4 linked regions of the Alligator mississippiensis genome follow. The protein of the gene in region 3 binds, or shares a complex with, the protein of the main gene of each other region. Links are inferred from orthologs where the notes say so. Each region holds a gene or a part of one and is shown on either strand. Other genes may lie near its edges.

Region 1 (7,175 bases), on a different chromosome or scaffold from region 3:
CAACTGATCTGGTCTGATGACACAGAGGATCCAGCAAACTTCCCCAGGGAAGTAAGTGATATAGTACTTACTGGCCCTTGCTACCAAAAAGCCGTCCTTACTTTCTCATCTGAATTTATTGGGTGATAAATATATCAAAAACCAAAGTATTATCCTTATATTACTCCAAGTCTAGTACTGACCCCTGCAGAACCCAACTGAAACACCCTTCATTGACAAAATACTGTCTCTCAGATTTTGTTTTAATCCCCACACACCAATCTCCCATATGCCAGAGAGGTAAAGGTTAGAGAGTAACGGAGAGAACAGAAGCTAAACAATAAAGGCAAATGAGACAGGGAGAATCATGAGTCCTAGAACAAAGGGATCCACACCAAAAAGATCCCTTCCCCTGTGGGAAGCAACTGCCCATTGCATAGGTAACCCAGGAGAAGCCAGTGACAGACACTGACTAGAAAGAGGCAGTAAAATCGAACAGGCTGATTCACCTGTTCCAAGCTCAGCTACCAGAGACCTCGTTCAAACACACGTAACTTGAAGAACCCAGATTTGTAAAGATCTCTTTTACAATGAGATTGAAATCTACTAAGGAGGAGGGAGGCTTGGCTCTTACGCATGTTCCAGTGCTTCTCAACCAGGGGCCTGTGCTTTCCTTTTAAGGGTGCAGGGCACTATTAGCATGGTCAGGTGAGCAAACACCTCCATGTGACCGCCAAGAGAAACCCAAAGACTTCCAGTAGGAATCCAGTGTGTCCAAACCTGCCTGCTCTGCTGTGGCTATTCTAAGTTCTCTGCAATGGAAGAATTGCTCTAGTACTTTTCTGAAGTTGAGAAGCAAGTGAAAGATGATCCAAAGGGAACCTGGAGTCCAACACGGTTGAGAGCCACTGCATTCCATACCGATTCTTAGAGCTTTGTTCTCATGTTTTTCTTCGATCTCTTAAGGGTGCTCTCTCCCAATTACTTAGCTTTAGATGTCAGGTGTAACAAAGAGAAGGGAAAGAATTGCAGAGAGACCTGTAAATTGTGAGGCACCTCTTTTGGGTGTCGAGCACATCACTGGTGCAACAAAAGCCATCACCCTAAGAAATCCTTGTTTCTCACATAATTTTGGACCATAGTGGCTATGTCACCCTCACTGTATCTTTAATACAAAAATTGCTTTCCTAATTTTTTGCTCTGTTCAGGCTACAGGGCAACGCCCTGTACAGGGCAAACCCCCCCGCCCCCGAAGACAATGGGTCCTTCACACCCAAGCCCTTTCATAGAATCATAGAAGTACGGTCAGAAGAGACCATGCAGATCTTCAGGTCCGACCCCCTGCCTGGGCAGGAAGAAAACCAGGCTCGACCCCAGCCAGGTAGGCATCCCAGGCTCCTGAGACTCACCTGGGGGGCAGTGACCACTGGCTGGTGTCCTCTGCTTAGCGGCCCCTTTTAGATCCCTCATTAATAAGCTACGACTTCACTCCCACCTCTGCTTCTTCATTTTTTGCCCCCTGTAATTAGCTATTGTGTCCTCAGTGGCCTCCTTCATGGAGGGAGGCTCATAGTTTTCTTTGGCAGGTCTTGGTTGACCATCCCTTCAGTACAACAAATAGGCCTTACTAAACTATCCCATTACAACAGATCATAGAACTTACAGAGCAGTTGGGCTAAAAGGGACCTCTGGATATCATACTTAGTCCAACCCCCAGCCTGAGGCAGGATCAGCCCTGTCCAAACCATCCTCAACAAATCTATGATCTAAACTCTTCATAAAACTGCTGTCAACCTTGACACCACACAAGACATCACACCTGAACCAGCTCCAGGTAAAGTAGGGGGACCATGAGCTGAGATTCCTTGCCTCTCTGGGCAGCCTGTTCCGGAGACAGACCCCCTTGTGGTCAGAAAGTTCCTTATCTCCAACCTCAATGTCCCCTACCATAATTTAAGATAATTGCTCTTTGCTCTGTCCCTGCGGCCACAGAGAACAATTTACCCCCATCTGCTGCAGAATGACGCTTCAGATATCTGAGAACTCCTCAGCCTTGTCTTCTTCGGCTAAACGCCCCACAACTACACAAAACCAGAAGCACCAAGGACTCCTTGGTAGTGGCAGAGGAGATGAAGGCCTGGCCAATGCCCTGCCCCAGAAACCACAGGGGTATTTATGCCTGCTGGGAAAGTGTCCCCCAGCCTGGAGTAGGCCTGGGCTTACATGGCAGCGTCCTGGTGCCGTCGCGGTGTGACAAAAAGTGTGCGGGTGGGTCGGGCACTGCTGGCGTCGGGGTGGGCGGTCCATGGCTTGGCGTAGCTGTGGTCCAAGAAGACCAGGTCCAGTTCACGCTCATGGACAGAGAGCTGGAAGAGCAGAGAGGTCCCCATCCTGTGGGCTGACGTCTGGAAGTCGCGCTCAGTGGCTCGGCCCCACATATCTTTGTGGGCTTCAGCCCCGCATCCTGCTGCCTGACTTAGGAGAGGCAGGGGGTGAGCAACAGACAGGGAAATGGGCCTGGTGCTCTGGCCCCTTCTCCCCTTTCACCTGTGGCCCTAGAGACCCCAGCAGCGCCCTGTGTCCCTGCTGCCCAGGAGTTCCCAGCACCCAGTGGCCCACGGCCCGTCCCCACCGCCATGATGACCCTGACTCCGCCAGCCAGACCCATACCCATACCCAATACCTCCTGCCCTCAGCGCTGGTGACCCCTGCCCACAGCACCAAACTGCTCCCCGCTACGTCCCTGGCCCCAGCACCCCTCCCCCACAAGGGTCTCCATGACCCAGCTCCTCCTGTCCCCAGGGCCCTCCGATCCCTGCCACCCCCGTGCCCCAGCAGCCATGAGCCCCGCATCCCATGACCCCAGCGCCCTCCCCACTGCTCCCTACTCCCAGTCCCTCGTGACCCCTGACCCCCGGCCCCGGCCCGGGTCAGACCCTACTCACAGCCCAAGGCCCGCGGCCGCCTCGGGCCTGGGCTTGCCGCCTACTGCGCACGCGCCACTGCCCGGCCGGCCGCAAAGCCCGGAACGAGGAATTCCCGGAGCGGAGTCTCCTGCCTGCTACGCATGCGCCGACCAAAAAGCCCGGAGTGTGGGATCCACGGAGCGGAGCCTGGAGCGCGGCGGGGCCGGGGCCGGGGCCAGCAGGGGAACGAGAGCTGCCACCTAGTGCCCAGGGCAGCGGCGTGGCTCTGCCTGCGCCCACCCCAGCCTGGCCCAGCAGCACCCACAAGACCCAGGCCCAGATGTCCAAATGCCACCCCTGGCAGCCAGCTCCAGGTCCTTCTGTGAAAGCCCAGCCCGCCCCTGGTTTGGCGGGACAGCACCGGGGCTGCCTGGTGCATACAAGGTCCCCCAGCAATGGAGGGAGAGTGTCCCAGGCTTCTGGGTCTTGCTAGTCACCATGTCTAGACCCAGCACTCTTTCCTCTAGACCCAGCACTCTTTCCTGCCTATGCAGGGGGTCGGACTCGATGATCTATTGAGGTCCCTTCCGACCCTAACATCTATGAATCTATGAATGTCAGGTGGGGAAGGCATTTTCCTCTCTTCTGTTGCTACAGGGATGGCGGGTTTCCCTCTTCCTCAGCAGCACTGGGTGGGCCTTGGCTGTGGCCCAGGCTGGGGAGGGCAACTGGGCTTGGCCAAAGCTCTCGCTGGGACTCAATGCTGGAGGGTCCTAGCTAGAGGGTCTTGCCTGGAGATGATGCCCCCAGAGCCCCCAAATCGCAGCACTGCCAGCTCGTGGCCACGCTGGAGTCAGTGGCACCTGCTCAAACTGGCCCTAATCCCTCCCGAGTGCCACCCCCTCCCAGGCTGGCCCATCTTCCACCCCCACTTCAACTTGTCACCCTGATCCCCCCTGGTCCCCTGCTACTGCCACGGAAGCAACAGCTGCCCTGCCCATGGCCACCAGGGGGCGGGTACACGGAGGCATGATGCCACCTCGTGGCCAAGGGCAGCTCTGCATGGCTGCCTGGGCAAGAGCATTGTCCCCCCAGCAAATACAGGGAGGGTCTTGGCGTTTCCCAGGGCTCTGCTGGGAAGGTGACTGGGCTGGGCCTGTACTTCTGCTGGGACTCAAATCTAGAGGGTTCCGGCTAGGTCTTGCCCCTCCACTCAGGGTCTCATTGATGCAACATTGAGGTCAGAAATCTTGCCCACCCCTGCACCAAGTCACACAGGTACAAAGGGGGGGGGGGGGGAGGGGGGGGCTTGGCTTCCTCTGCAGCAAGGGCATAGTCTCTGCCTGAGGTCTCTCAAGGGCACTGAAGCCACCCAGCAGCAGCAGGGTACCACCAGCCCTCTCCTGGATTCACCTGGGACACAGCCGGGGGCTCTCAAGGTCCCTGGAGTGTTGTGTGGTGTTAGGAACAGCTCAGACAAGGACGTGTCAGCAGGGGTTGGATGGGGCTGGTCCAGCCTGGCTGCCCTGTGAGTCTAACTCTGACCACACTTGCTCGAGTCAAGCTCTAGCACACCCACTGCTCTCCTCCCATCCAGAACCCCTTGCCATGTCCCAGAAGGCCATTGTGGACAGCTGAGACATGCCTTAGCTGTTTATATGCAGTAGGGACCTAGAAAAAGATCAGGCTGGAAGGGGCCTTACAAGGTCCCATCCAGTCCAGCCCCCTGCTGTAGGCAGAATCAGCCTTCCCTAAAGCAGTTCATCCAAGTGTCCATCCAACCTGCACTTGAAAACGTCTGGGGAATGGAAATTTCCCCCCCCAGCAGCCCATTCCAAGGCTGGATCCCAGTAGTCAGAAAGTGCCTCATCTCCAGCCTCAGTTTCCCCTGCTGCAGCTCGAGGCCATGGTTCCTAGTCCTGTCCCTTGCGGCCCACCTCCATCTTCTCTGTCGTCATCCTTCAGGGGTTTGAAGGTGATCAAATTGGCCTCACTCTTCATTTCCCCAAGCTACATCACCCCCGTTTTTTCAGCCTTTCCCCACAAGGCGGGACACTTAGCAGTCTCCCAGGAACAGAGGAAAGCCTCATTCATGGCACTGTGCCACTGGCCCCTAGTGACTACTCACCCTCCACACCCCTTGGAACAAGAGAGCACAGAGCACTGTGGGATGCCAGAGGACCAGAAGGAGACCCATGGGCTGAAAGCCAAGGCAAAAAAGTGGTAGGACCACATCACCTCTTGAGCTAACACTGTCTGCTAGTTGCCCAGGTCCCTGATGGGCATATCCTCAAAGGGATCCTGTCAGAACCAAAAGCCATGGTAGTATCCAGTCCTGCACCCTTGTGACATGAAGCCTACTGGGGGGGCAGGGCCAGAGCAGAAAGAGGCAGGGCTTAATATGGGCCACACCTGCCCCAAAAGTTGATCACTTGTAGCAATCTCTCAGCAGCACTGGATTTTTCCCTTCCCCTAGAAACTGGGTGCATGGAATAGGCGGGAAACATGGGCACAGGGCTGCCATTTGGTAGGTGAAACTAAGCGCCAAACCTGCTGCAATCCCCAAGAAGCAGAACACAGAGCAGGCCGGGATCCCTGGTTGCTGCTACTCCAGTACTCGGTACAAGAAAAAATCTTTTATTCTTTGCTCTGCCTTTCAAAACCAAGGTGTATTATATTGCAGACAATATGATATAGGAGCGCCCGCCTCCTTTGAAAGGGCCTGTTCCTGACCCTGTCACACACACAGACACGCATGCACAGAGACCCACACATTCAGTCTGTCACACCCTCACAAACATGCAGTCATACAGATACATGCATATTCAATCCATCACACTCAAACATGCAGTCATGCACACAATACATATGCACAATCCTACCCTTGCAGTCACATGCACGTTCGCTCCATCACATGCTCATAAACAGTCACACAGACACAGACACATTCAGTCCATCACACACTTGCATGTACTATCATATATGCAGACACACCCGCATTCAGTCCATCATGCACACACACATATTCAGTGTATCACACACTGACAAGCACGCAGTCACACAATGTGCACTCGTACAGACACGTACACATTCAGTCCATCTCACACTCAAACAGTCATACTCACCAGTGTCGCACACATGCTTACTCAGACACACTTGCATACCCAACTCCACTTGATTTAGCCACAGGTCCCCTTCCCTTCCCCTCCCCTGCCCTGCACCGGCTCCCAAGAGCCAGGAGACCCCAGGGGCTCTCTTCCTCTCAGGCAGGTTTATCACCGAAGTCCACAGCACGATTGTGAGACCCCTCCAACATGCTCTGACTTTATATAAAGCCCCTTCCCATAACACATTGCTACACGAGCCCTGTCAAGGGGGACAGCATCAGATCCCAACAGTTCCATGGTCCCAAGGTCCGGATCATGTGATGCTTTCCCTTGGCCCTTTGTCACGTGACTGTGGGATCCGTAGCTATGGTGGATCCTATGTGGGTGGATCACATGTTCCCAGGTGGCCTGGTACATCACACCAAGCCCCTATGTCCTGGCCCAGAATGTCTTGGCCAGAGGCTACAGCTTGGTGGGGCGGTGGAAGCCGTGGGGGGAGGCATAGGCAGGCTGGCTGTGCCATGTGGCGACAGGATAGAGGCGGTGCCGCTGTGAGCTGTCATACGATGTGGGGTAGTGTGCCAGGCTGGTCGCCAGTGGCCGGCACAGCTCAGAGGCCTGGGCAGAGGCAGTGATCACAGGGCCTGGGAAGGCTGGGATGACAAAGGGACTGAGGGATGGTGTGAGTGGCGATGATTCCCTGGAGCCAGCCAAGCTCAGTGGAAACCTCAGCATCGTCCCTGTGTAGGCATCTGGGCCGGGTGGTGGCAGCAGTGTGGGAAAGCCAGGTGCCACGGCCTGTGGCTTGGCTAGGCCAGGCGAAGCCTCCCGCGGCTCTGCCTCCCTGACAAACGGGGACACGGCCCTCAGCTTCTTCCCAGGGCCAAAGCTGCCATCTTCTGGCCCACGTTTGCCCAGCCCCGGGCTCTGCCCAGGCTTGGATGGCTGAGGGCTGACTCTAGCCAAGCTGGTTATGGGAGCCACCCAACAGGCTTTGCTGGCAGGGAAGGCCAAAGCCTTGCTGCCTTGCCGGAAGCCCGTCCCCTCCAGGGGCTCTCTGAGCTCCCCCCGTGGGTGGTCAGACAGGGGTGGGTCCTTGCTGGGAGGCTGGCAGAGGAAGGAGGCATCAGGGAAGCCGGCAGGGGCCCGGAGTGGGCGGCAACTCATAGGCTTCAGCACTTCT
Region 2 (7,655 bases), on a different chromosome or scaffold from region 3:
TGCCCGCTGGAAAGGCTCCGCTCTCTGCGGAGAGTCCCACTGCAGCCCTCGGGCTGTTCCCTCAGAGGCACCGGGTGTCGGCTACAGCCCGGGGCGGGGACGTGGCCTGGGCTGTGCCAGGGCTCCTGTGGGGCCCCAGGCTGGAGGGGCTCGTCCTGCTGCCCCCTCCCCCCCCTCCTCCCCGACTGGTCAGAGCTGGGGCGGGCAGGAGTCTGACCCCACGGTCGGACAGGGATGGACGGCAGGTGGGGGTTGCTTTCCTTCCTCACAGTGGCCACAAGTAGGGGGTGCACATGGGTGCACCCCCTATGAAAAGGCTGGTGGTGTCTGCAGGGGGTCAGCAATCGTGACTGGCCCCTGCCAGCGGTGTCTGTGGGTGGTCATCAACCCCTGGGCAGTGCTCACCACCTACAGCAGCATCTGCAGGAGCTCCCCACTTACTGCCGCGGGGCTCCCACCGCGGTGCCCCCCGCAGCGGGAGCATAGCCCTCTACCTGGGAGCTCCTGAGCACATACTGAGGTTTCAGGTGGGTAGGACACAGGGTGCCGTGGTTCCCTGCTTTACCTGTGGCAGGTTAGGGTATTAGGTCCGTGTTGCACCTCAGTTGGTTAGATGGAGAGTTTAGATTATGGTTGTATGGGATGGTTTGGACAGGGATGACCCTGCCTCAGGCAGGGGGTTGGACTAGATGACCTTCCAGCCCTGCTTCTTCAGGATTTTGCCTCATGGCTTTTCAAGTCTGAAACAGACCCAAAAAATAAACCAGCTCAGCCACTCCGTTCCTACACTTTGAGGCCTTATTTTGCCTCTTGCGCTGTTCTTTCCCCTTAGCTCTACCTTCAAGCAGTCCATGGCCGCCTGCTTATACTGAGGTTTTCCTGACCTGCATATGACTTTTTGCCCTGTACCACCACCCACCTCTATTGCTCCTACAGTTCATCACAAATGTACACGTTTTGAGTAGAGTTACCACAGAAAATAACACTTCCCTATTCTGGAGGTTACCTTGAAACTGAAGAAAGCATTTCTTTACTTGTTCTGCAAACATGTACAACATGAGTTTTAGGTCTTGAGAGACTGTTTCAGCGTGAAAGGGGAACAGAGGGATTGAGGTCATGGAGGTCAGCTGGTTAACTGATAGCAGGGGATTTTTTTCTCTAAGGATCAGCAACACAGTAGATTGGACTCCTATGGAACTTGGTATGTTTGACATAAGGTTGATAACTTATTTAAGGTTTTTTGTACAGGGGGAGGAGTTGGAATTGCCCAGTAGAATGAAGATATTTACTGAAAAAAATGTAGGTGGTGTACCCCAGAACTGACCAGAGTAGCTAGTCTATGGTCCTATACCACAAGCTCATCACAAAATGAAAATGTATACCTTTCCCCTTGCCCCATGCTGCACTTTGAAGACAGGAGGAGCTCCCACAAACATCTGCAAAACTGCTGCAAAAACTCTTCAGTCACAGCTGCAGTGCTGTGACTCCTCAGCAGAAAAGGAAAAGCCTCCTTCTATTACTTATGAGCCCCTTGTATGCCAGCAATATCCATTTGCTGTGCCCATGAGACAGGGCTCTCTTTATTCCATGTTTATGCTGTGCCTTGCATAATAGTGCCAAGATCTATGATTAAGGCACTACACCACACTATAAATATGAAGTAACTGACACAAGCTGTGTCCCTGCTGTATCTTTTAGCTTCCTAGCACATCTATTTATTCTGGTTTATGCTAGGAAAAATATTCATGTCATGGTGTACACACCAGATTAGATGCACTGAAATTTTCATTTTGGAATTTCATTGGGTTATGATTGATATCAGTGTTTCTGAAACAAAAATACATAAACAGACGGTTTACTAATTACCAGAGGTAATCTGGATCTGCTGCCCATAACTGAAGGCTTGTTTTGCATCATATCCACACCCTTATTTTAAAGTTTCTCACATGGATGTGGTGTACCATTATGGGAAAGGGGCACGCTTGAAAAAGACTGGTAAAGAGAAGTATTTTATACCAAGAATAATATCCTCCAAGATCAGATAAGTAAATTATATTATTATTAAAGAAAAAAACCTCAAAGCAATGTCAAATAATCTTGAGTTTCCAGTCAAGCAATATTTTTTTTCTTTTTTCCAGCATCAGAAATAGTAACCGAGAAGAGGCTAGATGAACACTCTTCTTAGAAGAGTACTCTTTCCTGCTATGGCAGGGGGTCGGACTTGATGATCTGCTCAAGTCCCTTCCGACCCTACCAACTATGAAACTATAAGAGCAGTGTGATCAAGGTACCACATAAAAAAAGCCACACAGGAAACAGTAGAACCTTGCAATTTCACACACTATAATCTGCAAAAGTCGCACTGTTAGCTTGCTACAGAAGCCATTTTCCTCATTGTTCCAGCGAGCTCATATTACAAAAATTCTTTCCTTGCAAAAACTACATATTTACTCAAATATGACAAGATCCCCCCCATCCGCATGCAAAAGAAACCTCTTGTCTTATATTACAAAGCAAGGGGGAGGGGAGGGGGCAGGCAGCTGCTGCAGCTCCGACTGGCCCTGAGCCTATGTCAGTCCCACAGCAGCTCCCTGCCCCCCTTCCGCTTCCTCTCTACTCCCCTTCTCCTCCCCTCACTCCCTTCCTTCCGCTATCAGGCATAGCTGGGCTCTGGCTGCAGCTGGGGTCTCTCCCAGGCACAGGGCACATAGAAAGTCTTTCCCCTGCCCAGCAGCACACATGCACTGCTGTGTTGCCTGCCTGGCCAATCAGCAGCACTGGTACTACTGCATGGCCAGGCAAGGGCTGAGCTTCCAAGCACTGTGGCCTCCATGGCTAAGTACAGACAGTCAAAAAGCCTGAGGCTGAATCGATTCAGTCTTTGCAGGTTAGTCTAAGATTCAGATATTAAATTGAAACACAAGTGAACAGACATTTACCTTTGATTCAGGAAGTGCCACATGCTTGTAGTGGCTCAGTCCAGAAGCCCAGAGCTACTAGAGCATGGCTGTCTGGCTGTGTGTTCACTTCCTTTTCCTGCTGCCCCCGAGGTCTCTGGGATTTGCAGTCCAAAATCAAAGCAGCAGGACTCTGCAGGGTGCTCATCACTTCCTCTTCATGCTTCCAGGTAACTCTGAGGTACTTGGGAGGGGAATTTCATCCCCCTCTCTGGCCCCAGGCCCCAGCTGGGGCTTGCCTGGGGAGGGGCAGTCCCATCCCCTCTGCAGACTAGGCTACAGCCCCAGCCAGGCTTCCCCCCACCCTCTTATATGGTGGCTATCATAGAAGACAGTCCAGATGTCCTCTGTCCTCTCTTGATACAAAACCAGACACCTGTATGTCCTCTATTTTTCTCTTGAAGAGAAAATAGAGGACAGGATGTAAAGGCGTCGGGTTTCGTATCAATAGAGGACAGGACAGAGTAGCAGAAAACCGGAATGTCCTCTATGATGGCCATCCTACCCTCTTATCAGCCAGCCCTCAGTGCTCCAGCTAGGGAATAGAGGGGCAAGGCTAGCCCTGCTTTCTGGAGCAGACAGCACAGCACAGCACAGCCCAGGGTGACAAAGCATTAGGGGGTACTGTGATTTAACTTGGAACCAGGAAGGGGTCTGGGACAGAAGTTTCATAAACTGGTTTGACCCAAATCAGTTAAGTCTGATGCTACATTCAACCAAGTTTATTTTAAACCAGTTTCAGCCACTTTGAAGCTGGTTTATATGCACTGAGCTTTTGTTCTGTTACAGGTTTGAACCAGTTTTTGATCACCTAAACTGGTTTATGTGCAACTTAAGTCCCTAGCCTGTGAACAGCCTGAGCAGTATCTGACAGTAAGGTGGGGAGAGAAGGAGGGGAAGACAGAGACTGCAGGGAAAGGCAATTTTTCCATATACTGTATAGAATCTAAGTATTGGGAGGCAGGGGGTCATCTTATATTCAGGGTCATCTTATTGTGAGTCACAATTATATGTTATATTCAGGGTCATATTATCTTCAGGGTCATATTATCTAATTTTGTGAGTAAATACGGTGCTTTGCCATATTTACTCTTTATAATGGTTCATAGCACACAAGACTAAAGCTGCAGTTGTCCAAAACAAAACAGGAAAGTCAGTTTTGTGATGTGATGTCACTATTTTCTCTCAATTATTCACTTAGTCCCAAGCTCCAATACCTATGCTCACATCAAATAGCACTTCAATCAACCAATGGTCCTATTGATTTGCTGAGTAAGATATTTGAATATAGGTATCTGAACTGGACTTTTCTTTCCTCATTTTCATTGGAGCTCAAGATCATTAGAAAGGTTCTGCTTTACCATGTTTACGACTTCAATCTTGCAAATCCTTACTCCTTTCATTGGCTTTAACATCCCTACTCAAACATGCAGCTTTTAGATTTGCTTTTGGTCTCCAGCCAACACTCAGATGATCAATCCCAATCCCAATGGGGACAACGCATATAAATGCCTGCAGATACAAGTCTTTAACATGCACTGTATTCATCAATAATAATGTCTCCATAATATTACATAGGCGACAGAGGGGGCAGGGGGGCACGTGCCTGCCCTGAGAGCACTGGTGCCTCCCCACAACAGCGAGCGCTTTGGCTGGTAGGAGGGCATGGAGCTGGCCACCGGGGGACCCCACCCCCGGTCGTGCCCCACTGGTCCCCCCGACTCGGGAGGCACCAATCGCCCATGTAATATTGTATGCACATCTTAATTCAGTTTAATTTTATTGCTATTCTTGCTTATAAATCAATGAAAAACAAACAAGGAGAAATAGCAGGAGCTTTTGAAATCTTGTGATCTTATTTTAAGAATAGCTCCCAGATGCCTTCAAAGGATTTTTGCTTTACGGTCTACAGACTACTCTTTCAGGTGAGATTACTTCTGCTAATACAGAAATTATTCTTGGCAAGTTGTAACTGGTTCCAGTCCTTTGAAAGGATTTGACTATCGCAAACAATTATATGGTGAAGCTGATGCAATACGAACACTGGTATTATGGCAAGTTTTAGGCTTCTATTATAAAACATTTTAAGAGAGACACTTTGTAGCTCAGGAGTGTTAGACTTGCATTGTCCCACAGGCTGGAGGAGAGGTGCAGGGCCACTCTGCAGGCCATGCCAGACCTACACATCAGTCCACATTCCAGTCCTGCTCCAACTGCTGCACATGGCAGTTGCACATGGTAGTTGCTCTATTGCTCTGCAGATGTGCAGGACCATGCAGCTCACCCTGCATGCCACCTATGGGTCACACCGAGACCCGTAGGCAGCACCAGGGACACCCCTGATATAGCTGAACAGCAGAATGCAGGCAACCCTTGCTTAATGTGGTTTTGTTATAGCGCTCATTTAAAATGCCTACCTAGATACACTCGGCGCTGAGTGAATTTCATTATAGCGTGGGCATGGGGAGAAGCAGTAGTGGCGGTGGCAGCAGTGAGGGAAGAGGCGAGTGGCAGCTGGCAGGAGCCCAGGAGCGGGGAGGAGCAGTAGCAGCGAGAAGGGAAGGGTGGGGGGCCAGGCAGTGTGAGCTTGGAGCCCAGGCCAGCAGGGTCCAGGAGCACAGGGTCCACTCCGGCATGTGGTGCTGGACCGGCCAGCGGGCGGGGAGGAACAGCGGCAGCAGCGAGAAAGGGTGGGTGGGGGACATGAGCGCAGGGCCTGGGCCAGCAGGGCAGCAGGAGCATGGGGCCCAAGGCCAGGGCTGGCAGGAGTGTAGAGCTTGAGCCAGTGCAAGCCAAGCCCACAGAGCTCCCCTGCACGCGAGCTGCAGTCCGTGCCCTGTTCCGCTCCAGTCATACCTGTGGGGTGCAGCGATCTGGTCATCTCCAGTCATACACTTGTCCCGAGCCTGCAGCGATCTGGTGGTGGCAGCTCGTCCAAGTGCCGGGTGCCCTGGAGGGAGCCCTCGCTGGTTAAAGTGGGGCGCAGACAGGTGGGTAGCCCCACTGCTTACCCTGCGCCAGAGCCCCGACTCAGGCCCAATGGCTGGGGCAGCTGGGGCTGTGCACAGGTGCACTGGTGGCCAGCAGGTGTGGTCCGGCAGGGGTCATTGCGGTGGGGGAACAATGAGGCCAGGAGGAGCTGATGCCTTCCCTAGCAGAGCCTGCATGATGTCTTGCCAGGAGCGGCCTGGCCAGGAACGTGGGGCCCAGGGTGGGGCTGCAGGAGCATTGGGTCTGGGTTGGCAGGTGGTGCAGTACCAATTATCTTTATTTACATTAAATCCTATGGGGAAATGGGTTCCGCTTAACGCTGTTTCACTAAGTGGGTGTTGCCTGTGCTTTGTTGTCCCACCATCATTATAAGACCAAGTTACACTATTATGGGCACATCCACACATGCAAGCACATGTGCTTGCAGCAGCTCAAATAGAAGCAGTACAAATTTGAGCCAAGGCTTTTTGCCTCAGCATACGTGCTTGGACATGAACTTTGTTGCGGAGCAAATTGTGCCATTTAAGGCAAAATAACCCTGCCTGGCTCCTCCTGGATTTGCAGCCAGGGGGAGCTAGAGCTCAGGGCCAGCACCTGTGCTGTCCCCAACAGTATGGCTGACCCACACAGCTCCACCCCCCACTCTCCCAGACTCCCACAGTGGCTGCCCTGCCTAGTCCCATCCCCCACACCCCCATGGCTGTCCCCCCCAGCCCCAGGCACCATCACTTTAAAAACAAAACAAGAAAAAAAAAAAAACAGACCCCCCCCCTTACCTTAGAAAAGTAGGGGCTGGGGGGGCTCTGGGGCCTCCTGGCAGAGCCCTCCTGGGCAGCACAGGGCAGGAGGGCCCCGGCTGGAGCTGTTCCTCTGCCCTGTGCTGTGGGGGCTGGGCCCCAGCGATAAAGACGGCAGCTGGACTGCCAGTAAGGCCCCGGGGGGGGGCGGAGGGATTTGGTGTGGGGATCCAGGAGGAGGGCTTAGGTCAGGCAAGGCTGGGAGGGCTGAGAGAGCAGGTGGGGCCAGCAGGGGTCCCCCCATAGTCCCCTCCCCCCTCCTCCAGCCCCCCCAACCCCTTACTTACAGCATTGGAGCCCTGGTGCTGCGCTGTCTGGCAGGCCGCATGGTTCAGCACCAGGGCAAGGGGCAAACCATAGAGACGCTCTGGCAGCCAGAGCATCTCCGTGGAGGACCCAGCCTCCGGTTGCCTCAGGGCAGAGTCTGGGACCATGCCCTGCCCTGCTTTTGTAAACTTTGGTTTTTTTAGACCCCAGGATCTAATTTTCTCCCTGCACTTGTTCCCGCACGTGCCTCTTGCCCCATCTCAAACAGGTTTGAGATGGGTCAAGAGGCGTGTATGGGCTCATCTGGACGCGCCTTATGAAGCCAATAGGAATATATCAGTTTTCTCCAGTGTAAGTTGAATCAGCCCCCTTGTTCAATATGGGGTCAGAACAGTAGCAGCCAGAAGCCATTTAAATCATTCCTATAGCAAATTTAAATGTCCTGTTATGAAATCTACAATAATCTCCTGCATGTTGTATTAGCTTTCGCCACACCTCATTGAGGACATTTTTATACATGCAAGAACCTCAGTGCCAGGTGCTCTGAAAAGCACCAAGCGCTGTTGCTTACAATTATATAAGTGGCAAAATGCACATCAGTGCTGAGAAAATGGCAGTAGCATGCTTTTGAACTAACATGTAG
Region 3 (7,121 bases):
GAAAGCAGCATATTGGATAGTTGTTTGGAGACACCAAATAGTTTTTACCCTCAAGCACAGATTTCGGTACAGAAGGCAAAATGTAAATGCTAATGACACAGTTTCACGTATGCCAGACTGCAGGAGCTAAGATCAGACACGGTGACTGCAATGTAAAGGGTCTCAAACGGTTCTAATTTCTCCAGTGGAGACTTTGGCTTCTGCTTTTTTAAAATTACACTGCTCATCAGAAAAAGCTACCATCCCCACAAGGGCCACTGAAATGCTTACGCCCCAGGAAGATCAAAAACCAATCCAGAAACTGGGCTGACTAATAGCTGTGAGAAACAAAACACGCTATTCATCATCACATTAGCTTGCGATCCACAGCAGAGAAAAAGCTTGATATTTGCCAGATGTTAAAGCAGGAGGAATGTCTGGGGTGGGAGTGAGAAATGACCTTTTTAAAAAGGTATCACAAAAAATGTAAGAAATTAATTTCTTTGCAGTTTGCTGCCCATATAAAGGCAAGCACGATCAAGTAACAGACCAGAACCGTTGCCATTTCTGGAGGGTGTGGGGCTTACAGTGGCCATCTGCGTGTTCAACAGCATTCCTCCGAGTTGCCCCTCTCCTCTCTTTCCCAGGCATGCACCTTTTGTTCCAGAGGGAAGTTGTCAGGCATTTGCAAGTTTACCAGAGAGATTTCACCATTATCAAAGGCTGGCACGAAGAGAACTTGATCTACTGCTTAGGTTTAGAGTTCTGGGCAAAAGCTCGCTAAATTCCTCCCTTCAAAGTCCCTCTTGCCTCTTCCTCTCTTATAAGTAACAAAGTGCAATGGAGATGACTCGACTCTCCAAGGCTCTTTCCTATTACCGTTCCAATACAGGAAGACAAAGAATAATGATCAGTGAAATTCACTGCCAGACAGCATGTGCATCAAGCCAAGCAAGGCCCAATTTAAAGGCATAAGCTGGAACTTAAGTAACGGGGAGGGCTGGATGAGATCCTCTCTGTACTGCAGTTAATTTCACATTTATCCACAATCTGTGTGTGTTATCCTGGCTGTGTTTCTGCAGCAGTGTAAGAGGAGCATCCCAAGCCCTTTTGGTCTGGCAATGGGCAGAGGCAATCCAGGATATAATACACCATGACACACACGCAATACTAAGCAGGTCGTGTTTTGTCATTTACTCAGCTTAAAGAGCTAGACGATTGTTTTCTCCCTCCCTCTGATCATGGTAGCACTAAGATACGGTCAGCAAGCTGTCTAACATGCCAGATCCACATTTGGCCAATTCAGACAACAGGAAAGCATTAAGACAGACTGATACTTACAGGAACTGGCTAGCCACTCTCCATTTGGACTAAACTTTACTGACGAGACGGCCTTAGTGTGTCCTGCTAACGTGAACTTTAGAGCATAGTTTGGTTTTACAGGTGCAGGCTGCAAGAAAGATTTGTTCAAATAAGTCAAGTAGATACTTAATTCAATGTTTCAGTTCTAACTGGGATATCTAACAAGCCAGGACACAGGGATGTACAGCATGATCACTGACAGCGGTCTGGATTTATCTATTAAAAAAAGGCGTAGCCCTGTATTTACAGGGGAACATATTTTTTACATTATCTGGCTCAGCGCTGCTTTACTGGACCTACAGAGAAACATCCTCAAAACAACTAGTTAAATTTATCTGAGATGCAAATCTATCCAAGTCAGCCACACAGGCAGAAAGTTGGCCCACAAGCGTGAGCTGAGCCACACTCCATACAGGATTTACAAGTGACCTGCCAAACGCTTTTAAAAATTAGGGTTGTGACCATTTGCATCTCCTTAAACCTCAGCAAGACACCTGACTTTTTCTAGTGCTGCTGAAGGACTCCTCAGAGAGCAGGATTTCAGATGGGCACTGCAAGCTTCACGCCTTGAAGGAATGGAGGAGGGAAAAGGGAGTTAATCCTTAATGAGGACATCCTCTTCCCACAACAATCAAATTTTTCCATGCCTGAATACAGGTGATTTTTTTATTTATTTCCATCCCCCTTCCATTGAAATATCACAAATTGATCAGTTTTCTAATCTCCTTACAGTCCTCCATGGGTACAGAAGACCTTCGGACTCTATGATCATAAGATAGGAGGAGCACAAGGCCATTTTTCTCCTTGGCAAGTCATCTTTACATACCAGTGTTACCTTTTTGGCTGGTGATCATTTCAGCAAAAACACCCAGACACTGGGATGACAGACCTCTTGCAATGATTGTGTTAACTGTCACTAGCAGCAGAAGCAGTTACAGAAACCAAACATCTGACGGGCCTTCTGGATCCCTGTTGGATAGCTGGCAACTCCATTAAGTATTTCAAGAAATCCTGACATCTTTATTTCTCAGAGAGGATTGTGACATTACTCATAAGTCTCTCTCACTACCATTTTACAACAATTACAAGATATACTATGCTACATGTAATTCCCTGAAGCGTTTGAATTAAGGTCAAATGACACTTGCAACGATAAAGCATGCTCTGTAACATGTTCTCTAATTTTCTCACTGCTTGCAAAAATTCAGGATACCATAATGGACTCAAGTGATGCAAGGCAGAGGTTACGTTATACGGACAAAACAAAATTATAGCTCTTCAGGGTAAATCCAGGAATCTCATAGTCAGTCTTGCCCCCAAAGCCTTCAGCATGTTCTTGGCCCTATACAAACCCAGAAAAATTCCCGAGGAATTCCTTCAGAATTCAACTTTTCCTTAAAATCCCTCATCCCAGTTTGCTTGTAAAAAAAAAAAAACCATAGGTAGCTCCCATGTGTATTTACAGACTCAGGATATTGTTCAGAGACCTACACACACCTTGCTCTGATTGGTTGAAGAGGAAGGAGTCGACTGTGTTTTGGTGGATTCTGCGTCTGGTTTCTTTTCTTCTGTTGCCATGGTTCTGAAGCTGGCAAGTCAGACCTATGGTGCTTGAAGGGATGAATGAATGTGCTGCTTCAAAAGGGAGCCTTTCCCACTGACAGGAGAACAGAACTGGGATCTCAAACCTAGGAGAAAATTCAACACTACCGTTAACCACAAAAGAACACTGTTTCAGCACCTAGAAAAGCATCATTCACGAGCGCATAATGACCGTAATCCCCACCCCCAGGAAAACCGATGCAAAGAGCATCTTACGATTCCAACTAGTATCCGAGAGACGAATGCTGCAGACGGAGACAAACAAATGCGCACCAACGCAACAGGGTGTTTATGCCTTCATGCCCATACATTTGTACAGCATACAACAGCACGCCCTACTTCCCTTCTCATAAAGGAAACTGATCCATCAAGCCTTGTGCTACCCGGATGGTGTTGACGCTCTTTTTTTCCCCAGCTGCAGAAACGTATTCTTTTTCTTTGTATCACTGATCCGTGAAACCGACTGCTGCATTTACACCGGGACTGCTAAATCGGTAGCACAGTGGTGTCCAACCTTTTAGGAAACCAGCCCCACACCCTCCCCAAATGCCACTATAATCCTCTTCCTCCGATTCATCCGCTGCTTCGCTTTCTGCTCCCCACCCTGTGCAACTCTGTCTGACCTGCTGCTCGGCTTTCTGCTCCCTGCCATCACATTGCCTAGCCCCACGCCGCTCGTCACAGGTCGGCCAGCCCCGCCCTGGCAAAAGGGGAGGTCGTAAACACGACACCTCCTGAAGATGGGGTCTACACCGCACAAGGACAAGAGTGCCTGGGATGGCTTTTTTGGACTGTATCATTTGGATGACAGGGGTTGCGGTGGTGGGGAAAGGGTTATTTCTCACGCCTGTATCAGCAACAGGACAAGAAGCACCGGCAGACACGAGGGTTTTGTTGCATCAGAGGAGGCAAGAAACCACCCCGGACATTGCTGGGGACCTGAACTCCTCTGCAGGACGACAACAAGCTCCATTTGCTTCGTTCACCGCCCAGGGCAGCGACACTCGACCTTTCCAGCCTCAAGGCTCCCTACGTACCATGTCTAAACCTACTTCTGCATCCACGCTGGGTGCGCTCACGAGGATCGACTGGCTTTGGGCATTTCTGCTCAGCACACACGGGTCAAAAAGGGACGGGGGACCCATTCTTGGATGAAAACGGCATCCGTTACGGGAGCGTGTCAATCGGACCCTTGCGGACCAGCGGTGCCCGAACTTGAACAGCTTGCGTTGTCGATTTAAAACCATGCCTCCCTCCTCCAGTCCCCGCCCAGCCCAAAACTATACCTCCTCCAGTCCCTCCAGCGCAAAACCAGACCTCCACCAGTCTCCCCAGTAAAAAACTATACCACCTCCATTCCCCCCAGCGCAAAACCAAACCACCTCCAGTCTCCCCAGTACAAAACTATACCTCCACCAGTCCCCCAGTACAAAACCATACCACCTCCAGTCCCCCCAGCGCAAAACCAGACCTCCACCAGTCCCTACCCAGTGCAAAACCATACCACCTCCAGTCTCCCCAGTGCAAAACCATACCTCCACCAGTCCCCTCAGCGCAAAACCATACCACCTCCAGTCTCCCCAGTACAAAACCATACCTCCACCAGTCTCCCCAGCGCAAAACCATACCTCCACCAGTCCCCCCAATAAAAAACTATACCTCCACCAGTCCCCTCAGCGCAAAACCATACCTCCACCAGTCCCCCCAATAAAAAACTATACCTCCTCCAGTCCCCCCAGCGCAAAACCAGACCTCCACCAGTCCCCCCAGCGCAAAACCAGACCTCCACCAGTCCCCCCAGCGCAAAACCAGACCTCCACCAGTCCCCCCAGTAAAAAACTATACCACCTCCATTCCCCCCAGCGCAAAACCATACCTCCACCAGTCCCCCCAGCGCAAAACCAGACCTCCACCAGTCCCTACCCAGTGCAAAACCATACCACCTCCAGTCTCCCCAGTACAAAACCATACCCCTCCACCAGTCCCCTCAGCGCAAAACCATACCTCCACCAGTCCCCCCAGTGCAAAACCATACCACCTCCAGTCCCCCCAGCACAAAACCATACCACCTCCAGTCCCCCCAGCACAAAACCATACCACCTCCATCTCCCCAGTAAAAAACTATACCACCACCAGTCCCCCCAGTGCAAAACCACACCTCCACTGGTCCCCAGTACAAAACCAAACCAGCTCCCATCCCCCCAGTGCAAAACCATACCTCCACCAGTCCCCCCCAGCACATTAATTTTTCAGCCCAACCTCCAGCCCCCCCGCCACACGCACACAGACACACGCACGTGTGTGTCTCACGACACAGCGGGTAACAGACGTGCTGATGGGTCGCACGGGGGGGGGGGGGGTGTCCGACCCAGGTGCCGTGTGCCGCACGTGGGCCCGGCCCCCCGGAGCCGCCGGCGCTCCCTGCGGGGGGAACTACAACACCCCCCAACCCGACGGGGGAAGGGCGGGAGTCAAAGGGTCAAAACAGGCCCCCCAACCGCCCGGACGGCGGCTCCCACGAGGACACGCCGCCTCCCTCCCCGGGCCCGGGCTCTTCCCCCGCCCCCGCGGGCGGCGGCGGGACGGGAGACACGCGAAGGGGGGGAGGGGGGGCACACACGACACTCACCGGTGGGGGAGGGGGGGGCGCGGGGCCGGGGGGGGCGCGGCGGCTCTCGCGGCCGCCAGGCGGGGGAGGGGAAGGGGAGGCGGCGCCTGCGCAGTGCGGAGCGCGGGGGGCCGCACAATGCCGCTCGCTGCCGGCCGCGGACGGCGCGGGGAAAGGGACAGAAAAGGCAAGCGCGCCGGCAACGCCTTAAAGAGACAGGCGCCCCCTTTTTTTTTTTTTTTGCTTTTTTTTTCACTCCTTCTCCTCCCTTCCCCTCGCAGGGGAGGCGGGGAGTGTCAGCCCCAGAAGTGCTCTCATAGAGGGCAGCCGGGCTCCCCCATGAGCCCCTCAGGGGCCTGTGGGGCAGGAATGTGGCTCCCACTGGGGCTGGGCAGGGGGGTTTACTTGACTTTTTGCAAAAATATGTATTTTTATAGATAGATATAAATATCTATCTAGACCGACCTATCTAGATATAGATCGATAGATAAATATATACCGATGAACAGATAGTGATAGATATAGATATGCATAGATGGATAGATATAGATAGATAAATATATACCTATGAATATGGTGATATATGTAGATATGCATAGATAGATAGATAGATATAGATAGATAAATATATACTTATGAATAGTGATAGATAGAGATATGCATAGATAGATATAGATATATAAATATATACCTATGAATAGTTAGTGATAGATATATAGAGATATACTTAGATAGATAGATAGATAAATATATACCTATGAATATGGTGATATATGTAGATATGCATAGATAGATAGGTATCGATAGATAAATATATACCTATGAATAGATACCAATAGATATTTAGATAGATAGATATAGATATATAGCTATTGATAGAGATGTATCTATCGATAGACAGATAGATAGATAGACAGATAGATATAACCCCCACCTCCAACACTGCCATGTGACCCGTGTGGTTCACTTGGCAGCTCAAACCACACTAAAAACCCATTACACAGTTCGCGCCGCACAACCGCGCGTCCGCACTCCCATCTCCGGGCTTGTGCAGGGCTTGGCCCGGCCCGCCTGCGTCCTGAGGATACATCTTCCCCAGCTGGCGCCTGGCACGGGCCTGGCCTAAGCAGAACAGGGGAAGCCGCCGAGCCCAGGGAGGACAGCCCTCACCGGACCCAGCCTTGTGGCAAGCTGTGGGGCCGTGCACGTGCTGCTCTGGGCCTTGCTGGATCTGGCCTGTGCATCGATAGGAGGCCAGGAGTCTCCAGACCTGTTCCCATGACTGTAACCAGGCGTGCAAAATGCGCCTGCCCAGTCCAAACCGTTGCTCAACTGGGTCCCGTTTGCATCTGGCGACTGTGTTGGCGTCCTACAGCCCACTCTGGCCTTCTTTAGCAATTATCTTCAGTGTCTCCCTGACGGCTTGTTTCAAATGAAAACCACCTGCCTCATCAACTGTTAACTAAAAACCCATATAGAGGAGGCTTAAAAGTCATAAATCATTTATGCATGAAGCCCACAAGCTCCTGGAAGAGTTTGGGGATGCTACACCAAACATATGGGTCAACCG
Region 4 (7,651 bases), on a different chromosome or scaffold from region 3:
ACACTGCCCAATCTGATGCAAAATAAGGGAGCATGCAGAGACCCGACCCTAGGATTTACCCTTAACTCTGTCCACCAATCAAGTGAAAGAGAAGGGAGCCAATCAGAGATGCTGACCAAGGTCTGCCCTTAACGCTGCCTGCCAATTAGGAATGAGATAAGGGAGCCAGAGAAGCTGGCCAGGGTTTGCCCTTAACGCTGCCTGATGTTCAGATGTGAAATAAGGTACCAGAGACTGAAACCCCACAGTTTACCCTTAACTGTGCTGACCAATTACATGAGGAATAATGGGCCAGAGACACTGGCCAGGGCTTACCCTTAACTCCACCAATGGAGTGACACATAAGGGACCGTTTAAAGAGGCTGGCCAAGGCTTGCCCTTAACTTTGGCTTGTTATCTCACATCCGATTGGTGGGCAGAGTTAAAGGTAAATCCCAGGGTTGGCCGAGTGGTCCCTTATCTTGACTCTGATTGGGCTAAATTAAGGGTAAGCCCTGGACAGTGTTGTTGATTCCTTTATCTCACATCTGATTGGTGGCAGAGTTAAGGGAAAACCATGGGGGTGGCTCTCTGATTGTCCACCAACTGAACGAGATAATGAAACCAATCAATCAATTAGAGAGGCCAGCAAAGGTTTACCCTTACTCTACCCAGCAATCAGACATGAGATAAGGAAATTAGAGTCACTAGCCAGGGATTAACCATAACTGTCCAACCAATAACAAAATAAGGGCCCAAACAGAGAGCCATCCCCAAGGCTTACCCTTAACTCTGCCCACCAATATGATGCCAGACAAGAGGACCAATCAGAGACCCAAGCCCAGGATTTACCCTTAACGCTGGCCAATTACCGCATATCCACTCAGAAAGGCTGGCCAGAGCTTCTCCTTGACTCTGCCCACAAATTAGATGGGACCAGAGACCCAAGCCCAGGGTTTACCCTTAAATCCACTCAATCACATGACAGCTAAAGGGACCAATCGGAGGCTGACCAGGGCTCACTCTACCTCTGTCCACTAACCAGATGCCAGATAAGGCAGCCAATCAAGGACACAACCTCAGTTTCCCCCTTAACTCTGCCCACCAGTCCAATGCCAGATAAGGCAATGAATCAAAGAGTCAATGCCAGGGCTTACCCTTAGCTTTTATGTAGTTGAGGAGAGTGAAGTTAAGGGCTGGCCAGGGCTTACCCCCTTAACTCCACCCACCAACCAGGGCCTGGATGGCAGTTGGAGCCAGTTGTTGGTTCCTGTCCAGACATGGAACGGGGGGGGGGGGGGGGGGGGGGGGTGGGGGGGGGGGGGGGCAGAAAGTTCCATAGCAAGCACCTAGAAGATGCTGTGAGGTCATTCCCTGCCTGACCTCACCTCCACAGGCCAGGCTGCACCTCTAGCCCTGCCCCCTCACCTTGGATCCACGGGCCTGGTCTATGCCCAGCTCCTGGGCCTTCTTACGCAGATCATCCTTATCAGGTCGGTCACGCTCATGGTCCCTCTCCTTCTCCTTTGACTTCTTGTGACGGTACCGGATCTCCAGTGATGGATCCTTCTCTAGGGAGAAAAAGAGACCCAGCAGTCTGGGCCGGCCCTCGCTGCTCTGCTCCACCCAGCTCCCCCAGAGAGAGCCCAGGCATCAAGCTCCTAGCACCTCCTGCTCTAACACTCCCAGCCCTCACTCTCCTCTCAGAGAACAAAAAAGCATCTGGGCTTCCAGCAGCCAATATTCTCAAGGGCCAGGCCCAACTCTCCTCCTCTACCTGGGGAGAACCCAGGCCTCTGGCTTTCAGCCCTACCTACTCTCACCCTCCAGTTCCCAGTCACCTCCTAGAGAATCCAGGTGTCTAGGCGCCAAGGCCCCTTACCCCACTACTCTCACTCCCCCCGCCCAAAAGAATCCAGGCATCCAGTTCCCAACCCCCCTGGTCTAACCCACGAGCCCCCACTGCCCTCCCAACGAACCCAGGCATCCAGTCCCTCACCACGGCACTGTAGGCAGTACCACTCCCGAATGGCCTTGGCCATCTTCTCCGTGATATTGATGCAGTCACCATGGAACCACTCATTGCAGTTGTCACACCCACTATGGGGGGGCGGGGAAATAGAGGAGCAGGAGGTGAGACCCTGCCAAGGCCATGCCCCCCACCCCAAATCCCTGGCCCCATCCTAATCCTTGGTTTACACCCAACCCCACAGTCTTCCTGCAATGGCACAGACCCCAACCCCATAGTCTATCCTTGTGGAACAGGCTGACCCCCCCCCCGCCCATTTCCAACATCTCTGGCCCAATCCTATGGCTCCAGCCCTGCCCCCCACCCCCACCAGCCAAGGGCACAAGCCCCACCTCCATGGCTCAGGCCCCGCCCCCAAAGCCCACCTCTGGGCAACAGGCTCCCCTCAAAGCAGAGATTGCCCCCAATCCTCATGCTCCCCCCACACACAGGCTCAGACCCCGTCCCCACCCTCACGGCCCTCCTCCTTTCACTCAGACCCTGTCCCCAGGCTCAAGGTCCGCTCCCTACTGCCCCACGTGGCTCAGGCCCCGCCCCCCGCGCACATCATGAAGCAGTTGATGTCGGGCTTGCGGCAGATGCAGTAAACGGCGCGTTTCTCCCCATTTTCCGAGCGCGTCTCCTCGCTCGCCCCGGCCGGCTCCGCGTCCGAGAACTCGCTGTCCTGGGGGCGAGGCAGGGTCAGGGAACCCCGGTGTCCAGGATTCCCCTGCTCCGACCCCCCGCCCCCGAGAACCCAGATGTCCGACACACCCCTCCTCTCAAGAACTCAGGCGCACGGTCTCCTAGCGCCCCCCTTCACGGGAATCCAGGTGTCCGAGATGCCCCCCCAACTCCCAGAAAACCCAGGCATCCAAGCCCCAGCCCTTCCCCCCACCCACACAACACAGGTGTCCGGGACCCCTCACCATAGCTGCCGCTGAGGGTCCCTTGTTTTGCGAGGAACCAACAAAACAAGGGACTCGAAAGAATCTCTGACTTCCGCGGTACTTCCGCTTCCGGGTCATCCTGCCTGCCTCGAACCCCTCCACTGATCATCACCCAGCGCCTAGTCGCTCCTCTGCCCTCTTCAAACATGGCCGAGGTCTAAGAGCGGCGAAGGGACCGGACTCAAGGTGGCCGAGGGTGCCCGCCTTCAAAATGGCCCCTCCTTCCAGCAGAAGCGCTCCGCTTCTCCACCCGCACCAAACATGGCCGCCACCGCTTCTACTATGTGGCCGTCTGACTTATGACACTGCGGTGTGGCCATCTTTGATTGTGTCAAGTACCAGACACGTTGAATCGAACGCCACCCAACGGATTGGACGGATTGAGTCAAAGAAAGAATGATTTGAGGGAGAGATGGATTCAGAGGTGTCTACAGGGAAGGATAGATGGATGGGTAAATAGAGGGAGGGATAGAACGGGTGTAGCGATGGAGAGATGGATCGGGGTTGAGTATGGGAATGGATGGAGATATGGGGTATATATGGGGAAGGACAGATGGCTAGAGATGCAAAGGTATGGGGGGAGGGGCATGTTTAGGGATTGATGAAGAGATGGTTCCAGGCACGGCTGTCCTTAGGCAGCGGGCAAGCTGGGGCAGCCACCCCCAACCCGGCACTTTGGGACCCCCACAGAACTGGGCAGAGCGGCCACGGCAACTGAGTGCTGCTGCTGCCGGCTTCATGTCTGGCTGCTCGGAAATCCCCGACCCCCCAAATCCACCACCAGCTTCTTTGGGTCTAGGGCGTGCAGGGGCAGGGCCCTGCACAGGCTGCACCCTGCTTGGGTCATCTCTGGTTCCAGGGATATGATGTGGATGAAGGGAGGGATGGATATGGATCTAAAGGAGTGTATGGGGATGGATGCTCAACCCCCACTCCCCTCCCTAAGAACCCAGGTGTCCAAGCTCCCAACCCTGCCAGCTCTCCCTCCCCAGTACCACCACTCCCCTCCCAGAGCAGGAAGAGAACCCAGGTGTCAGGGCTATCCACCCTTCCCATTCCTGCCCCCAACAGCAGTGAGAAGATGCTGGGTGGGTGATGGCTTTATTGGTACCAAGCTGGAGGGAGGACGAATGCCCAGACAATAGGGGTTCACTCCAACATAGGGTGCCATCCTGGTGTCACGCAGCCACCTTCTGGTCCCTGGTGCCAGCTGTGGGCAGATTGGGGGGGGGGGGGGGGGGGGGGGGGGACAAGCAGGGTACAGGCACCCAGCTCAATGGGGGCCCAGCACTGGACTTGCCCTCCTTGGTGGTCTGCGACAGAGAAGGTCCTGCCCCCCACAGTTCCATCCACCTGCACCCTCATCCATCCATCCCTCCCTCCCTCCCTCCCCATGCACACCCGTGTCCAGGCATCCCCTCATCCCATACATACTCCTGTGTCCATCCCTCCCTGTCCATCCCTATACATACTCTTGTGTATCCATCCATCCATCCCTCTTCCTCCCTCCCCTCATCCCCCACTCATCCATACCTTCCAAACATCACCCCCCCACATCCATCCCTCTACACCCCATCCATCCCCATACACACCCTGTATCCATCCCTCCCTCTCTATATCCATATAAAACACCCCTATAGCCTTCTATCCATCAATCCCTATACACACACACACACCTGTATCCATCCATCTGTCCTTGTACACACACCTGTAACCATCCCTCTACCTGCCCTATAAACATCATTCCTCCATTCCCCCCCATACACACCCTTGTATCCTTCCCTCCATCACCTCATCCACCCATCCATCCCTATACACATCCCCCCACCCTATGCCTCCATCTCTCTGCCCATCCCCATACACATCTTGGATCTACTCTTCCATCCCCACCCTAATCCTCAGCCCACATGCCTGCTGGTGCTGCTCCTCCACCCCTGGCCCTCCAGCTCCACCTTCAGCCTGGAAGGAGGAGGGGGGCGAGTATTAGAGAATGCATCCACCTCTGGAGAGGAGCCAATCCCACCTCACCCCACCCTAGCTGGGATGCGGCAAGAGAGGCTGCCAGGCTTGGCCACCAGGGCTGCAGCCTGATCTTGCCAGGAGACCCCAGCTCTCACAGCTGGAAGGGAACCCAGGTGTCCAGCTGCCCAGGCCCCTCTGCTCTCCGACTCCCCTCCTAAAACTCAGACAGAACACCGGTGGCATCTGGGCTCCAGCCCCAGGTCTCCAACCCACCAAGCCTACACTCCTTTCCTGGAGCTAGGGAGAACCCAGGTGTCCCAGCTCCAAGTCCCCCTGCTCAAACCTACCAGGCTCAACTTCCCTCCCAGAGCTGAAAAGGACCCAGGCACCTTCCAGCCCCATTCTAACTTTCCAGGTCACACTCCCCTCCCAGAACTGGACAGAACCCAGGCATCCCTCACGGTTGCATCGCTGCAGCCCCTGGCAGTGGCGTTGGGTGGCAACCTCCAACTGGGAATGGGCACCTTGGTTCTCCTGCTGCAGCAGCTGTCTGGGGAAGGGCAGAGGGTGAGCACCAGACATCCTCCCACCCCACGCCAGGGTGCCACATCTGGCATTGTATATGGGGGGCCGGAACTGCCTTCTAGTCAAGCCACAGAGCAGAACCTAGGCATCCAGACCACCTGCTTTCAACCCCAAGCTCACACACCCATCCCAGAGAAGCCAGATGTCCTGGCTCCCAGTCCCCGCTGTTCTCACCCACAACCCCCACTCCCCTCCCAGAGAACCCAAGCATTCGGGCTCCTAGTCCCCCCTTCTCTCACTGCCCAGTGAACCTAGGCATCCAGGCTCCCATCCCCTGCCCATTCCCAGCCCCCACTTCTGCCTCCAAGATGCAGTGGGAATCAAGGAGTCCTGGCTCCTACCCTCCCTGTAAAACACAAGACTCCACACCCAGTCAAAGACAGAATCCAGGTGTCTGGGATCTAGGCTGGGGGGCAAAATGACCCTCAACCTTCCCACTTCTGATACCTATTGGGAGAGAACCCAAGCATCTGGGCTCCCAGACCCACCTGCTCTAATCCCGCCAGTCCCTCTTCTCTCCCAGGGAACCCAGGCACTCACAGGGCAGCACTGGCCTCCGGGCTCTTCAGGAACCTCCTCTCTTCACGGCGCCAGCCCCAGCCTGGGCCAGCACATACAACTTTGCTTCAACTGCATCAGCTTGGCCTGGATCAGTTCATCTGGGCCAGTGGGGAGGGTGTCACAGGACATGCCAGGTGCTGTACAGACCCCCCCCAGCTGGTATCAGGGGTACCATGCACTGTACAGACACCCCAGGCCAGGATCAGGAGGCATCAAGTGCTGTACAGACCCCTCAGGCCAACATCATGCCAAGTGCCCCTTTGCTCACCTTCTCTCAGCAGCCGCTCCCAGCTGTCTGACATGTTCTGGATCTCAACAGCTAGCTTATCCATGGTCTGAGGAGAGGGGGAATTAATTAACTCTGGGTTAATTACCCAGGGAACTCACGTGACTGACTCCCTGTCTTCTCAGAATGGGGAGAGAACCCAGGTGTCCAGGCTTCCAGCACCCTGTTCTAACCTACCAGACCCCACTCTATTCCCAAAGCTGTTAGAGAACCCAGGTGTCCTGGCTCCCAACCAACTAACTGGGCCTCACTCCCTTCCTGGTGCTGGGAGAAAATCCAGGCATCCGGGCTCCCCATGAGGAGACCCTCCCATGTCTCTTACATGCCCTTCCTGCAGGGTCTTGTGCTTCTCCATCAGTTCATCCAGCTGCTGCTCAAACTCCAGCCTGAAAGCAGAAGAGGGGGTGGCTGTGGGGTACAGGAATTGTACCCAGCCACGGCCAGAGATGCCCTGGAGTGTGTGGTATGGCAGGAAGTGAGGGGTCAGCTGGGTGGGGGCACACACATACATGCACATACACTCAGAACCTAGGTGTCTGGGTCACACACGTGTGCACATGCACAAAATGAGCCCAAGGCATCCAAGCATATCACATACACACACACTGACCCAGGTATCTGTGTCTCACATACACATGCAGAACCCAGGCATCTGGGTCACAAACACATACACAAATGAATCCAGGTCAAATACACACACAACTGAGGTGTCTGTGACACACAGAGAACCCAGGCATCTGGGTCACATGCACTCACACAGGACCCAAGGATCTGGGTGTCTCACACACACACACAAATGAACCCAGGTGTCCAGGTCTCTCTCTCTCTCCGTCTCATATACACACACGCATGATCCACATGTTCAGGTCACACACACACACACGCACGCACAGAACCCAGGCACCTGAGTCTCTCTCTCATGCACACACACTAGACTCAAGCACCTGCCACACGTGCGTGCGTGCGCGCACACACACACACACCCCCCGCCACTCATGCAGAAAAGACCCAGGCATCTGGGTCTCTCTCTCACATGCACACACAAATAAACCCAGTGTCCAGGTTTATCACACATACACATGCATGCACAAGCCAGGCATCCAGGTCACACACACACACACACACACACACCCACCCACCCCCAGGCATCTGGGACATACCCATGTGTGCACTCACACACTGAAGTGTGTGTAGGAATGCAAGACTGACTAGAGCTGGGACAGAACCCAGGCATCCAAGCTTCCAGCTCTAACCCACCCATCCCAAGTGCACTCCCAGAGCCGAATAGTACACGTGTCCTGGCTCCCAGCCCCTCTGCTC

The links.
Region 1: WDR5 (region 3) and KANSL3 share a complex: the UniProt entries of both Homo sapiens proteins name them as parts of the NSL complex. The link is inferred for Alligator mississippiensis from reciprocal best matches to the Homo sapiens genes WDR5 and KANSL3.
Region 2: WDR5 (region 3) and YEATS2 share a complex: the UniProt entries of both Homo sapiens proteins name them as parts of the ADA2A-containing complex. The link is inferred for Alligator mississippiensis from reciprocal best matches to the Homo sapiens genes WDR5 and YEATS2.
Region 4: WDR5 (region 3) and CXXC1 share a complex: the UniProt entries of both Homo sapiens proteins name them as parts of the SET1 complex. The link is inferred for Alligator mississippiensis from reciprocal best matches to the Homo sapiens genes WDR5 and CXXC1.

What each region holds. Positions count from the first base shown.
Region 1 is NC_081830.1:10,566,594-10,573,768, forward strand, and holds the start of KANSL3 (KAT8 regulatory NSL complex subunit 3), read right to left. Parts: upstream 3,009-7,175; 5' UTR 2,925-3,008; intron 2,455-2,924; exon of another isoform or gene 2,451-2,454; 5' UTR 2,418-2,450; coding exon 2,203-2,417; intron 1-2,202. Other genes in the region: ARID5A (AT-rich interactive domain-containing protein 5A), read right to left, coding at 6,455-7,175. UniProt on the Homo sapiens protein: Non-catalytic component of the NSL histone acetyltransferase complex, a multiprotein complex that mediates histone H4 acetylation at 'Lys-5'- and 'Lys-8' (H4K5ac and H4K8ac) at transcription start sites and promotes transcription initiation.
Region 2 is NC_081830.1:41,937,588-41,945,242, reverse strand, and holds the start of YEATS2 (YEATS domain-containing protein 2), read right to left. Parts: upstream 3,002-7,655; 5' UTR 2,940-3,001; intron 1-2,939. UniProt on the Homo sapiens protein: Chromatin reader component of the ATAC complex, a complex with histone acetyltransferase activity on histones H3 and H4. YEATS2 specifically recognizes and binds histone H3 crotonylated at 'Lys-27' (H3K27cr).
Region 3 is NC_081835.1:61,654,648-61,661,768, reverse strand, and holds the start of WDR5 (WD repeat-containing protein 5), read right to left. Parts: upstream 3,011-7,121; 5' UTR 2,920-3,010; coding exon 2,839-2,919; intron 1,430-2,838; coding exon 1,321-1,429; intron 1-1,320.
Region 4 is NC_081831.1:27,528,968-27,536,618, forward strand, and holds the start of CXXC1 (CXXC-type zinc finger protein 1), read right to left. Parts: upstream 3,016-7,651; coding exon 2,999-3,015; intron 2,767-2,998; coding exon 2,554-2,766; intron 2,080-2,553; coding exon 1,979-2,079; intron 1,551-1,978; coding exon 1,408-1,550; intron 1-1,407. Other genes in the region: synaptonemal complex central element protein 1, read right to left, coding at 6,067-6,143, 6,314-6,380, 6,654-6,717. UniProt on the Homo sapiens protein: Transcriptional activator that exhibits a unique DNA binding specificity for CpG unmethylated motifs with a preference for CpGG.